Linked DNA regions of Stegostoma tigrinum. The protein of the gene in region 2 purifies or fractionates together with the protein of the main gene of each other region. This does not show direct contact. Links are inferred from orthologs where the notes say so. Each region holds a gene or a part of one and is shown on either strand. Other genes may lie near its edges.

What was found.
Region 1: the proteins of myo1ea (region 2) and ostf1 purify together in Homo sapiens (co-immunoprecipitation; 3 studies listed by BioGRID and IntAct, counting the BioPlex papers as one, with this or other methods). This does not show direct contact. The link is inferred for Stegostoma tigrinum from reciprocal best matches to the Homo sapiens genes MYO1E and OSTF1.

Annotation. Positions count from the first base shown.
Region 1 is NC_081356.1:66,466,052-66,473,871, forward strand, and holds the start of ostf1 (osteoclast-stimulating factor 1), read right to left. Parts: upstream 3,140-7,820; 5' UTR 2,988-3,139; coding exon 2,954-2,987; intron 1-2,953.
Region 2 is NC_081386.1:17,739,632-17,747,457, forward strand, and holds the start of myo1ea (unconventional myosin-Ie), read right to left. Parts: upstream 3,200-7,826; 5' UTR 2,806-3,199; coding exon 2,803-2,805; intron 1-2,802. Other genes in the region: protein FAM81A-like, read left to right, coding at 6,749-6,751. UniProt on the Homo sapiens protein: Actin-based motor molecule with ATPase activity. Unconventional myosins serve in intracellular movements. Their highly divergent tails bind to membranous compartments, which are then moved relative to actin filaments.

The DNA.
Region 1 (7,820 bases), on a different chromosome or scaffold from region 2:
AGATTTCGTTTTGCAATGCTCTTGTGAAGCACCTTGGATATTTCATTAAATTAGCTCTATAAATGTAAAGCTTTAGTTCATTATCATCTACAAAACTATTTTTCATTGGCAAATTTTTAAAAAGCTACACATTTGTAATCAAAAGCACTATTCCCATCCCTGATCATTGCTGATGTACATGCTTTTGTGCTACTGATGTAGCATGTAACATGAATACCACAATGGGAACAAAGACTCTGTAGTTATATTAACAGTTAGACAACCACCCATCACCCTTTCATCAGAGCAATAGGTAAAAATACAATAGCCATTGAATAAAAAGGGACATTTTCTTAGCTCAAATATCGAAAAGACTGTTTTCAAGTCATAGCTACAACAAAGATTCCTTGTTCTCAAAGAAAAGAGCCTTCTGATCAGAAGAGGAAAGCCACTTTGGATGGGTTCTATTCCAAAACTGAGCTTTCAAATCGTGTCCAAAAACTCATCAACTTGAAGCTCTGTATTGGTGACTCTTCCCGACTGGAATAAAAGCTTAGATATGGCCCACAATGTCTCACTCAGATCAGATAACAACTCACTGAAATGTAAATATTTAAGATGTGTAATGTCTAGCTGCTAATTAAGTTACTAAAGCACTTTCTGCTCTCTGATGAAGGGTCAAGGTCTGAAACGTCAGCTTTTGTGCTCCTAAGATGCTGCTTGGCCTGCTGTGTTTATCCAGCTTCACACTTTGTTATCTCGGATTCTCCAGCATCTGCAGTTTCCATTATCTCAAGTTAATAAAGCCGGTTGTTTGCAGAGGCATGTAACCTCATCCACAAGGAACATAAGAAACACTGTCTGCCACATGTTTCATTTTGAGAAAGAACCTTCCCACTCCACTGCCATACGATCAATATTGTCCATTTAAGAAAGTGAATGGGAAATATTCTGTCTGAGACTTTTTTCAGTTTCCAAGACCCCAAGTTAGTTGCAGTCGTGCAATTCTGCTGTCTGGTACATTTGTTTGAAACTGTTCCATCACTAGGTGGTCATATCTTCAGTTAACCTAGGCCGCAAGTATTGAAATTTCTACCCCTGACCCACCACATTTCCTTTCTCCCTAGAAACTCTATTTGGGCAAGCTGTTCAACCTTATATGGCTTAATTTCAGAGTCTGTTCAATAACAATCCTGCTAAGTGTCTTGGGATAGTTCACTAAAATAAAGGTAGTATTCAAACACAGGCTGTGGTTATGAGTCAGGACTGAATCGCCAAACTATGAGCAGACATTGTGATGGACTCATACTGAGTTTTGAATTTAAAAGAAAATTCAATGACCAACTGAATATTTTCAGTTATCTCAAGAAAAGTTAACGTAAAAGTTAACACACAATGTATTTTTCTAGCAAAGTGAATCTGATAACAGCTATATAAAACAAAAGTCCAAACATATTTAAACATTAAGTAATTTCAGTGGCATTTGACAAGTCAGAGGATGCAGGTGCCCATTGCCCCTCACCCATCTCTGAAAAAATGGTTAAAAGAATCATATTTCTCAAACAAATTTCTATGAGGTTGATGGTGAACATTATCTGGAGAAATTCATACACGTACTTTTAGAATGACTCCCATTCATTGTTAGAATGAATCTTAGACTAAACAGGCAAAAGTTAAAGGCTTTTATTATCAAATGATGCAGATTGTCAGGACAGTGGTGAGATATAATTGAGCAGTAGTTCTAATTGGTACTAACAATAAGCTGATACATGGCATGCATAGTAAAGTGAGGAAAATCCACAGCAGTGGCAAAGTATGCTTAATGCATTAGTTCTGCTGCTACAGCACAAAACTGTAAATTCCACAAAAATTGCAATGTTCATTACTTTTATACAATAAATCTGCTTATTCATCTAAAAAGATGTCAATGACTCACTAGACAGATCATCACCGTGCTCCATCAGAAGAACTTAATTTGGCCTCACATAAACGAATACATACTGCTATATCTCAGGGTCACTCGTTTGCCATATTAAAAAAAAGGCCTGCATTCGATCAGTGCGATGGCCCACTTGGTCAGGCTCCAGATACATTGATCAAAATTGAAGAGCTAACATGGGACTGAAGTGCCAAAAGTGTTTGCATATTTCAAGAATTGGTTTGGGTGGTCAAATTGTGCTGTTATGCAACTGTTAAATTTCCTGTTGCACCAGTCAAAATCACCGTGTAATTACATCTCCCAAGCAAATAAACCTCTCCCGGTTGTGGTGCAAAAATTCTTCAAGATCAGTAAATCACATAAAACATAGTTTAATTCATGCTTCTAAGTCATATTTGAAGAAAGCCTCATAATTAAGATAGTTAGTGGTAACCCACAAATGCGAGTTGTGCATGCACAAAGAATGACACACTGACATTTGAAAAAAATTGTTGTAGAGCCATTGAACCACCAGATCTTGGAAGATGGTTGTTTTTATATTAACACGAGGTCACAATTTGACACCACAAATAAACGCAAACTGAAAGGTGTTAAATATTTACAGTATCCCTTCTAGCCAGAGTAGAGCTGCGAATTTGTCAATCACAGGGGCGACTACTCGCGCACCCCACCCGTAGAATTGAACTGCTTTCAAACCAAGAGGAGGGGAAGCAAGGCTTAGAGATTTACCCGCACTTACACCAAAGTCTTTACATTTATTGCGCAGTAAAGTACCAACAAGGGTCTGAGTGGAAAACAATTAAACACAGTAAAAAGAACACTTGGAGAATTTTACATGAAAACCACAAGAATGACAAGTGGATTGGACTGCGTTGAAAATTCAAGAGCTCAGAGATATGATGACAGCCATAAAGAGGTGTTTCAGACTGTTCTCCGGGAAAATGTGGCAACAACTTCTCTTTTGGGGAGAAAAGACCAGGAGTCAATCAATTTGACTTTAAAGTCTCACAAGCCTCGAAAGAAACGGCACCTTACCTGGTTTGGCCGGTTTAGGCGGCGGTTTCGACATTATTGCTACAGTTGATTTGTAATTTTTTCCGATTAAAACAAAGTCGAAAATCACTCTTGCCACACAGTCTCCTCAGATATTACACCGTATTGAGGAACTGTCGAGTGTGGGGTGTAACCCGGAAGTTCAGGCAGAGCCGCCCACCGGCCCTTACGCTGAGCGTGATGACATCGGCAGCAGTGTCCGCACCCCTTCACGTTGTGCGCAATGATGTCTTCGCCTGCCGTCTCCCACCCTGCCGTACGTGATGGCATCATCGTTCGGTGTCTCGTCCCTCGCCGAGCGTGTAGACGTCACTGGTCCTATGGGAGAATGAGATGAAGCAGGTAAATGGTTGGCCTCTGACATGAAATATTAACGGATTTTCAACTTTAAAACTCCCTGTGATCTGTTGGGCATCCCTATAAGTGTAGGTTGGGAAGGTGAAGCATGAGAGCCCCTTCTTTTGCGGCCGCACACCCCTTGCCTGTAGGGGGTTTACTTTCCTTTCCCTTTGAATGGTTCTCGAGCTTATACTGATCCCAAAGCGCGAGAAGGAGAGTTTACTAATTGAAAGACGTGCAAGGAATTTTTTTTATCCTCAAGAGTGTGGTTCTGAGGCTTCGGATGATTAGAAGAGTTAAAGAGTCAGGCGTTGTATCTCGTGAATATTGCTATGGGCAGGGGAATGAGATTACAGAGTGAACCAGGGTAACTGACAGTGAATGATTTCTTCACAATGCTGAAATAGAAGCGACGGTGTGTTCAGTGGCATCTTAACATGGCAATTAACAATCGCAACGGCTGACAAATTCAACGGGAAATGCTAGTGGAGTGGAGTGGAGATCAAAACAAGAACTCTTGAGGTTTCTGGAATGGAGGGGAAATGCTGAGGGCCGGAGTGTATGTAATGAGACAGGCAAGATTGAGGGCCCTGGCAATCTCTTTGCAGAGAAATCCGCAAAGAAAAAAGGAAGTTCTATCCAAAACACTAGTTGCATTAGCTGAACAGGTATGCCAGCAAAACTAACAATGGAACAGTCAACATTGGAATCAATTTATGAGAAAGTGTATTCAATTTTCTTTGGTAAGTCACGGGTCTTTCGGTAAGCAACAGCTGTATCCCACAATTTGACCTGTTTAAAATATTGTCATTGGATATACTCTTGTTCCCTGCTCTCCAGTTTTGACCATGAGTGATCCACACACTGGTGTTGGGTGTGGGTAATCTATGCTGCTTAATGTCTAAGCCAATTTATTTCAAAGCCCCAGAACTCTAAATCCAATCTTAAATTCCACTTTAATCATATTAAAATTACATTTCTCAAATATGCAAGAGGTCAATCAACATGCATTGTAAATTTACTTGAATATTGTGATACCAATAAAGCTTACTTTGATACAACTAAAATATTATGAGTTTTGCTTCCAGTTGAACAAAGCCAACTTCTGTTAAACCAGTTCTCTCAAAATGTGATATATATCTCTGGAATAACTTCGAAGCAACACTTCTATTGAAGGAATGTAAGTCTTATCCTAGTCAGTTAATCATACTATATCGTTACAGAAGGAGGGTATCACAGCTACAAAAGAAATAGTGTTTGTGAAGCTTGATTAGCTCTGCACTCACACAAAGCCAAAAGCTCCTTTTTTTTGATATATTTGACTTAAGTACAATGATGAAGCATCCTTCAGTCAAGTCTGGGACATCAACTGGAGTGGAGATTATATCGTGAAGAGGAAATCAGTCACATCCACCTATTTAAGGGTTTTTCGATCCATCTTTTTTATTTCTCATGGCAGGTTCAAAACAATGATGAAATGAAGTTGAAAATACACAGTCGTTGGCACCTTCATCAAACTCTGCTGTGAGTTCCAACCACAATTTGGTTCCTGATCCATTTTGTTAACTCTTGAGTTGCATCAAATTAGCTGGCATAAAGCATTCCTAAATGTTTTTCTGTCCAACGACCAATAAATGGAGTGATAAGTGAGAAAATGCTTACAATAACTTCTTGATTGGTTCAATAGTTTGTTAATTTATTATTTAAAAATGATGGGCAAACTTCTACTTTGCATGCCCTCTTTTCCCTGAGAAAGGACACCTGTGTGTTTATGTCAGATTTGCAAATCTAATCTGTAGTTATTCGTGCACACAAAACAAACACTGTTGGTGAGACATTTGTAAAGTCTCACTTCATGAATTATGCTGAAATTGAGTGAGATTGAATTCTGGCCTCTTTCAACTGACTGTCAGAGGTTTAACAGTCCTCTGCTCCTTGTGCTGTGATTTTGGGGGTGAATGGCCCCGTGCTCCCGCTGCTTTGTGTGCAACCCATCTTGTCAAAGTTAATAAATTCACAAATGACAACAAAGAATTGGAAACATTGGAGATCTGAAATGAAACAGAAATAGTGGAGAAACTCAACAGATCTACCAGATCTATTGAGAAAGAAGCAAAGTTAATATTTCAAGTCAGCATGGCTCTTCTTCAGAACACAGAATTAAAATTAGTAATTTGGCTTTTTGCTGTCTGGAGTTACGGGACTCTGTGACTGCATATGGTGCTCAATGGCTCCACTGTCACAATATTGTTCAGAATAAGGTGCATGGTACTAAGAGGAGGGCGATATTCTGTAGAGAATCTGCTTTAGCAGTTGAGAATAAAGGGATGACAATGGGGAAGCAGTCAAAGATAAATTTAAATAATTCATGAAGAAGTTACGTGAAATCTTCCCCTAAACAATTTAATGAAATTTTAAATGTTTATGATTTAAAGCAAGTAGAAATTAAGTATTAAAATGTGAGGAAATACTTGCATTTAAACAGTGCCCTTTGCAACATCCGGATATCCCAAAAATCTTTATAGCCAGTGAAGTACTTTCTGAAGTATTGCACACAAAAGAGAAGGAATAGAGCAGAGATCTGAAAAGAATAGGAAAAGTAAATTACACATCGCAGAAATCGAAACATGATGTTAATGCCAGAACAGCAAAAGAACCCGAGGTTTTTTAAAGCAGATTTATAAATCAGTTGTCAGTGTACTAAATTTTTGTGTTTTATATTTATAGCATCTGTTGAGAACTAAAAGAGCAGAAGCACAAAGGAGAGAGATAAGACCTCAATGATCCTGCACAAGAGAAGCTGTTGAATAAATGGTGAGTTTTTTTTCTTTCACACTTCAATGTATCTATAAATTAATAGCTTAATACACACATTGACATCTTTAAGCATGTGGATTGTTCATCCTGCATCATGTGGAAATCCAGGACATTTCATTTATCCTAGATAACCACATGCAGGAAGTGATGGCATCCGGGAAGCTAGAGCTTCAGTCTTCAGAGGTTCAGAAGTAGCTGGGATTACTGTCGTGCATTCACACTGTTTTGATAACATTTTGCGACACATTTCCCCTGCAGTTTAAAAGTGTGCAGGCAGGGAGGTACTGGGACATAGCCAACAGATAAAAAGGATCAGGCAGATATTGTCATAGTCTTCCAAAGACTTTCACTCACTAACCAGTATTGAGTTCTAATGAAGAAGCGGGTTCGTTTAGAGAATACAGCCAGGGCCATGGCACCGTGAGTGGCTCTGCTGTACATGGAAACAGCTGAAAGATCAGAAGAGCAATAATGATTGTGTATTTTATAGTTACGGGAACTGAGATGCTCTTCTGCAGGTGCAGATGAGATTTCAGGATGGAAAGTTTCCTCCAAGGCACCAGAATCAGGGATGCCCTGTGCAGTTTCAGGGAATTTTGAAGGAGGAGGCTGAACAGCTGCCAGTTCTCATTTCAGTACCAATGACATAAGCAGAAAGTGGAATGGAACTTCTGCAGCCTGACATTTGGGAGGAAGGAAAGAGAATAAATAAGCAACATGTTAGAAACAGCAACTTCCAGATTTATCTTGATTCACACACGAGCGAGAAGAAATATAAGAGGTTGGAGTAGATGGATATGTGGCTGGAGAGATGATGCAGGAGAGCACTTTTCATTACAGAGATATTGGATCAGTTTTGAGGGATGAAGCTCGACAGTTGCTCCTGAAGCAAGTCAGGACCAATGTCCCCATGGTTGGTTTGCTCTTGTTTTAAGGACAGTTTAATTTAATTTGACTGGCAGATGATAATCAGGTTTAGTATTAGTAAGGAGAAACATCGTGTACCAAGGATTGAGAGAGCTGTGGTAGCTTTAGGATAAAATATAGTAACTACTGGATGGAATCAGGCCAAGATAGTGTACAATAAGGTGGAAGATAGTTTTTTATTGCATGTTTGTAAATGTACAAAGCATGACAAATAAATCCTACCTGACCTGCTGAGGATTTCTAGAATATTCTATTTTTATTTCAGCTTTCTGACATTTGCAATATTTTGCTTTTTGTTTTATTGAGGAAAGGCATTGCTAATTTGTTTCTAATAAGCTGGATCAAGCGTCTGGGAAATGTTAAGCCATGGGCGAGAAGCACCCTAGAATATATAAAAAAACTAATAGAAGGAGGACAGGTTGCAGTGATTTCAAAGTAAATTTGTCCCATGAGAATTGGAAGCAGACAATTGCTAGGAAAGACCATTTCAATGTGATGTCTTGAAAAGGGGTGGCTCATGGCCAGTCGATGTATTTGCCCACAGGGGAAAAGGAACAAACAAAGCCAAATTTCAATGGATAATAAAAGCACTAGAGCATTAGCTGAAGAAGGAAAAAGAGTGCATATGGCATGTGGCGTATACATTTGGCATCTAATTTAGAATACGGCATCTCCAACCATACAGCATTCCCTCAAAACTGCATTAGAATGTCACATGAGATTACATGCCGAATTGTTGTGAGTTATGTAATATGTATTCTCTTAA
Region 2 (7,826 bases):
TTCCTCAGCTCTTCACTCTCACTAAATCTTGCCGCCTCCAAGAATTTTGGTATCTGATTTATGTCCTCTTTCGTGAAGACAGAACCAAAGTATGTATGCAGTTCCTCAGCCATTTCTTTGTCCCCTATTAAACATTCCCCTGTTTCTGTCTGAAGGGACTTATTTTTGTTTTTACCAATCTCCTTCTCTTCATGTACCTATAGAAACTCTTAGTGTCAGTCCTTATGACAAGCTTAGTTTTGTGCTCTATTTTCCCCTTCTTAAATAATCCTTTGGTCGTTCTTTGCTAAATTCTAAACTGCTCCCAATCCTCAGCTGTATTATTATTTTTGGCCAAGCTGTATGGTTCTTCCTTGGATTGGATACTATCTCTGACTTCCTTTGTACGCTTTGAATTGGCTCTCTTACCCATTTTGCTTTTGTGACAGACAGGAATAAACAGTTGTTGTAGTTCCCCCATGTGTTTCTTGAATGTTTGCCATTGCCTATCCACTGTCATCCCTTTAAGTAATTCTCCCCAATCTATCAAGGCCAACTCATGCCTCATATCTTCATAGTTTCCTTTATTAAGGTTCATCCCCCTAGTCTGCAAATCACCAACCTCACTCTCCATCTTGATAAAAAAATTCTATCATGTTATGGTGCCATATGTATTGTGACGTAACTAATTCTATAAGGGTTCCACACGTCCATTTCAAAATAAATTAAAGGCACTCAAGGGTTTTGTTTTATATTCAGCTCACTGGGTCACTTTCTACGTCTTGTTGAATTGGACTCCAAAACAATTACCAATAGCAGTTGATACATGAACTCGAATCACAGATAATGCTACTTCTGAAGAAGGTCCCCACACAAAACGTCAACTTTCCTGCTCCTCTGGTGCTGCCTGGCCTGCTGTGCTCCTCCAGCTCCACACTGTGTTATCTCTGACTTCAGCATCGGCAGTTCTTACTATCTCTGATGCTATTCTGGCAGTTCATTATTAAATGCAATCATAGCTACTTGTCTTTATGGATAGGTAGAACATTTCAATAAATAGGAACTTTAAAAGCTTTCCTGAAGATAAAATCTAAAAGGTGATTAAACAAAATAAGTTGTTCACATTCCAAAACACAAAACTTGCATTAAATTTACAGCCTGGAAACAGGACATTTTGCTCAACTGGTCCATGCTAGAGTCCCTCAATACAAGCTTCCCACCAGTCTTCATCTGATCTTAGCAACATTCCGGCATTTTTCTTCCTCATTTACCTATCTGCCACGCCTTTCAGATATCTGAGGTCCAAGCATTACCTGAACACACTAACATTTAGGACACAGGCATGCTTGGAGATGGACACATTGCAGTCCATTTCTGCTGCTTGGCCTGCTGTGTTCTTCCAGCTCTTCACCTTGTTATCTCTTGCAATCCACTTGATTGCTTGCACATACTTACAATTTCTTACCACTCCCATCAAAATTGATGCATTGTTTCAGATAGGAAATAATACGTGGTGCTGGATGGGAAGCACAGAAATAAATAATACCAATAAAGCTAAAGACAATCTTAGAAAATTGCAAAGCTCTTATACTAAAGTGGGACTGAGAAGAAAACGAGATGAACTGTTCTAAGATTACAACATCTACAGACGACTTCAGGATCAGCCTTGATGAATAGATTGCTGTTCCTGCACGTGATAATCACAAAGTCAGTCAGTGATGAACATAAACAATGACCAGTGAGGCTTATCCAACACAATAGCTGCACACCAGTATTTGACTAGTTTCACATACGATCGCACACAGTAACATAAATAATACTCGTCAAAATTGTAGAAACAATCTACCATATGTATTCCAGGGGTTGGTCAACTTCGGTATATAGTTTAAAGATGCTTCTTGAATAATACATGGATATAAATATTTCGACGCTTTCCAGTAGGAGACATTTATTTCTCTTCAAAAGTGGCTCACTGTCACGTAAAGCTTAGAGTTTCATCCTTTTTTGATGACAATTAATTAGACTTTGAGTGGACAGATCAAGATAATCCAAATTGAAACTTTGTTGCCAGTTACAAAAGAATCGGGAGAGAAGGACAAGTCAGGAATCTTTAAAACGCAAAAACTGTTCCATCATTCCCGTGACCCGATGGTTTACTTTTGCTACAATGGAAGTAGCAACTATAAACAATAGTTTACCAAACCAAACCAAGTGCTGAATTAGTAAAACACCAGCCCGTTGAGTCTGCATGGTGACTTTTTTTCAGCAATATTCAATTATATAGAATAATACATTTCCCGCGACTTGTGGCCAATGCAGACTGGGCACAACATCACAACAAGTTTCCATTTCGTTTCCTATTACTGCGATCCTTCAAAAAGGAATCGCTTTAATTAAGGCAACTCTTTACTTGGATTGATGAAACTGGGATTGCCAGTTTCCTGCCCAGTTTAAAAAAAAACACTTTACGTGAGCTACAGGGAAAAATTAAGCACCTTGGGAGTTTGAATGTTTATTCCTGACCCGTTCTATTTATTGAACTCTGGACTCGTTCGGCATTGAAGCATTTCCTCCAACCTGTGGCTATTCCGTAGCTGCCCAGGGAGCGTTCCCTGCCGGTTACTTTCAGCGCAATTAGAAGGCCGGACTACCGCAGATTTTTAAATCAGTTTTGGAAACAGTCTTTTTGTTCGAAAGTCAAGCATTGGAACTGATCTGGTTGCCGCTGTACCGAGGATTTGAGTTCAGCATAGCTGTCCCACCGTGGGGGGAGATATCCTAAAGCCCTTTTCTATAGTCCACTGTTACAATGATCAGACTTACCATTTTGCTTCCTTGGAATTTATGCCGGCTCCGGGAAAAGTCTGCTGCCTAAATCGAGGCGGTGCCACCTACTGTATGCTCTTCACTGGCGATCTCCTGCTTCCGAGATAGAGTTGAACTCCATCTACTGTCGATCCTGGAGTCCACAGTGGAGGGAGGCATCAACATGCTGTGGGTGGATCCATGTTTCAAAGAGGAAGGGGGGGAAGAGAAAAGATGATCAAGTTTTTTTTTGGATGAATCAGGCCTTGTAGCTCCGGGGTGTCCCCGAGCGTTCTGCACTCAGAGAGGGAGGGAGGAATGGTGAATGATCGTCCCGGTGAATACGATAACTCTGCCAATCAGTCCATAAATGGAGAAATGTAGCCGAGTGGTGCAGCCAATCGGCTTGTCAGTGTAGCTCGTCACACCATTGGGAATGCGTAGAGGGAGAAGGAGCGAGGTGGAGCCGGTCTCAGGCGGCACGGGCAGTAATGTTCTCAGCCCTGCCCCTGACAAGATGCCACTGAAAACACACACAAAGCTTGCTGTCTGTAAGCCAACTGCCGTAAGGCAGAGTGTCTTATCCACACCTATATGATTTACAGTGATAATGTTTCAGCTTAATCATGTTACGTTTAATTGTCATGAAGCTGATATATCTTCACTATCATCTCTACGAAATCGGCACGTCTACTGTAGATATTTTTAAACAATGCAGCCAGAGACGTTATTACACACCAAGTCTTGAACCTAGATCTCCTGGCTCAGAGGTAGGGATGCTACCACTGCGCCAAGGGAGCCCAAAGATCTGCTATATACTTCGGACAATATCTAAAGAACTGCTGGAACTGAAAACAAACGCAGACAAATCTGAATGACACCAGGGCAGCACCTGTAGTGGAGACGATCACCCCTCTGTCTTTCAAGAGGTAACATTAGACGGGATCACAAGTCCCCAAAATAGTTACAAGCCCGCTCACTCCTTTAGAAAATCCTCTGATCTCAGGAAAGTACTAGGAACTGATTTGGACAGTTACAGGAAACAGGAGCAGGAGGGGGCAGTTCGGTCCCTTGAGCCTATTATTGCTGTTGAATGAAATGAAGATTGGTCATTCACCTCAGCACTGGTTCTAGACCCCCACAGGAAATGTCCTTCCTGCATCTATCTAATTAAGACAAACAAGAACTTCCTTTGTTTCAAGAAAATCACCGTTCATTTTTCTAAACTCTGGAAAATATGGGCTCGCTTTCCTCAGTCTTGCCTCACAGGACAGTCTTGCCACCCTGGGAATCAGTCTGATGAACCTTTGTTGCACTCCTTTCATGGCAAGTACATCCTTTCTTAGATAAGGAAACCAGAGTTGCTTACAATACTTCAGATGCAGTCTTACAAGGGCTCAATGCAGTTACATCAGGACATCTTCACTCATGTCCTCAATTCCTCCTGGGATAAAGGTGTAAATACATTTGCCTTGACTGCTTGCTAAACATCATGTTAGCTTTCAGTGACTCACCAACAAGAACACTTTTAGGCACCAATACTTCACAAACCGTCTCTGTCTAAGAAATAATATGCATTTCTGTTTTTCCTATGAAAGTGGATAACTTCACGTTTCTGATTTTATAATCGATCTGCCAGGTTCTTGCCCATCCAGTACACCTATCTAAATTCCCTCAACAAATGTGGAAATGTTACATTGGATTCCCATGTACAAATCATGGTAGAGATATTACGTTTAAGTATAAACAAACAGGATTGAGCATTGCAATCGCTATGATAATAAAACAGAGAATTTGACTCATTCCTTCACCAGGGTTAATTATTTGTTGTGAGGAATGGAAATTGTGATGCGGATTTACATTGGGAATGTGATCTGCCTTCTCTCTTTCCAGCATTCTCATTTTCCCAGCAGTTTATTACTTACTAGACAATAACAATTGACAACAGATGACTGTAAGTATATTTCTATGTATGGTGGTGGTGGGAAATGGAAAAGTTGGATTACAAATATGTACTTACATTTAACAGAATCTTGAACAAGATAAGACTTTTAAAAGTACTTGAGATACAGTAACATTTACCCAATTCCACCTCTACCAAGAAGGGCATGGTTAAAATATGTCCTTCAGCTCTGAATTCTGCTCAACTGTTTTATCCTCAAAACAGTATTATTTTTACAAAAGCAAAACACTCTAGAAGCTGGAAATCTGAATAAAAATGCTGGAAATACTCATCCAGTCTAGTAGCATCTGTGGAGTGAGAAACAGAGTTACAACTCAGCATGAATGTATCCAGATCTAAAGAGTTGTTTTCAAAAAAACTTTGTAAATCAAACCTTTTGAGATACTCTCTTGTGTCCTCTTTCACACTTAGGAATTAAATAAAATGAAAGGTTATATTAATATTAATACTTCAAGGTTTGAAGTATTGTGATAACATGCAATTAACCGATGAAAGGCACCCGCCTGAAACACTGAGATAACAAGGTGTAGAGCTGGATGAACACAATAGGCCAAGCAGCATCAGAGGAGCAGGGAGGCTGACATTTCAGGACGAGACCCTTCTTCAGAAAATCCACCTGAAACCTGAAACATTTCTGTTTTTCTCTCTCTGCACATTCTGTCAGATCAGCTGAGAATTTCCAGCATTGTCCATTTAATTTTTCATCACCTTGTGTATGTGTGTGTTTTCCCAAGTTTCCCTCAAAATTACACCAAATTGGCGTGGGCTTTTTGGTTTTCTCTGTAGTGGTGATATGTCCAAGGACAGGTCCTTTGTTCAGTTCTTCATGCCTCACAGCCCTGCCGCTTTTTGTTCATTTGCTTGTTAGACCCACCCATTTTCAATTTCATTGAGTAATATACAAAAATGAGTTGGAATCAGGAGTAGGTCGTCCATCTCCTTGAACCTGCTCTGCCATTGATAAGATGATGGCCAATCTGATTGTGGCCTCAGTTCTACCTTCCTGCCTCGCCCTAATAACCTTGAATTCCTTGATAATTACGAAAACTATCTAACTCAGCCTAAAAGAAATGACTGGGGAAAGGAAAGCTTAAAGAAAACACAAGTAGTCTTCTCAAAGGATCCTGTACTTATAAGCAACCATTATTTGTTGCGGTTCCAGCTTTTCTGCCTGAAATTTACTGGTTCTACCATTGTTTCCTAATCCTATTCATGGGATCCTCATCTATAGGCCCCAGGCTATTCACAAAAAGGCAGAAACAACCACCCAGAAATAGTAGGGACTGCCGATGCTGGAGCATCTGAGACAAAAAGTTGTACAGCTGGATGAACACAGCAGACCAAGCAGCATCAGAGGAGCAGGAAAGCTGACATTTTGGGTCTAGACCCTTCTTCAGAAAGAGTCTTCATTTTCTGAAGTCGGCTCTAGGCCCGAAATGTCAGCCTTCCTGCTCCTCTGATGCTGCTTGGTCTGCTGTGTTCATCCAGCTCTACACCTTCTCAGAAACAACCACCCCCATTCCGTAAGGTCTCAAGGGAGCCTGCCACTCCATTGACTCCAATATTCCCTATGACTCTAAATTCATGAACTTCCATTCTTTTGCTGTATATCGCTGCTTTCTCCCTCATGAATGAGCCACTTGTTGGCTTTTTCCCAGCCCAGGAGCATCCTGTCATGCTGCTCCTTGCTGGAGGTCAAGAAGCAGTCTCTCCGCCCGGACTGGGGCAAGTTAAAAACGCGACAATTCCCGGTTGCTGTGGCAACAGCGTCCGCGCAGGGACAAAGCGCCGCAACAGCGAACCGGCGGCGGCGACCAGATTGCACCCCTTCACCTCTGCAACGGGCGCGGTACAGCTTCAGTGAAAGCGAAAGAAAAACAAAACGCAATTTAAGAGGCGGATTAAGGAACCGCCTAAATATGTGAGGACTGATTTCTGGCGCGTGGCATCTTCGACTGCTGCAGGAAGCAGCTTCTTTGTGTCAATGTTTATCCCAGTTTAATGGTAAGGACTGTCTGACCTGTCATTCTCAAAAATAGTCATCACCCATTTCTGCAAGTGGAAATACAAATACTGTATGTATTTAGTGTGGCCCCACTATCACACAATCTATTCACATTAGTATTGTGCAACTCACAAACCGGTTTTGCCGACTTTTTGTATGTGAAGTAGATGTCGGTGAGAATACTCAAGAGAATTACGCTGATTTAGTAAAGAAATTGCCTCAGTTTAAATCTTTGATAGCACGGTGTGAAGCTGAAGGAACACAGTTCCTACTATCTCAGTTTAAATCTATGACGTTTTCGAAGCTGAACAGACGCTTTAAGAAAAATGATAGGATTTGAAATCCCCACGAGACTGAGGTAGAATCGTCCCTTTTAAAGTACATGGAATCACCTGCTGTTCAGCAGCAGGCAAGTTAGGCCAAATGCAAAATGAATGATTTGGAGGTGCCAGTGTTGGCCTGTGGTAGATTGTCGCGTGATTTCTGAAAATGAATGATTATCATCCATTCGCAGGTGAAACTTGATAAAATGAGTGCTTAGGTGCTGCATAATTTGATAAATCTACGTGAAGAAAGTTTGAAATTATACTGTGATGTGTGGCATTCCAGGACTGCTTTTTTGTGTTTGTCATAAATTCCTCTGAGCTGAATTTTGAACCATCTTAAGATCATATTTTTGTTAAGACTAGGAATGACAAAACTACATTATGTCTCTCACCTCCAAGTTGTTTTTCTTGTAGTTACTATACTATATTGTCATGAATTTGTTTTAATACCAACATATTCAGAAACACAATTTCAAAACTTCCACCTTCGTAATCCTGTTGGACCTTACTTCATCTAACTTCAACACATTTCTTCTCTTGTGTTCTTATTGGAACGTACGATTTAGGAGCAGGAGTAGAGTATTTGGCTCTTCAAGCCATTCATTAAAGTTATGGCTGATCTGGTAGTGGTCTCAACTCCACTTCCTTTCTGCCACCCCAACCCACCCCACCCCAATAACTCTTGCACTATCAAAAAGTCTGCCTGGAATAAATTCAGTGACTTCTTGGGAAAGAGAATTCTCTTTCC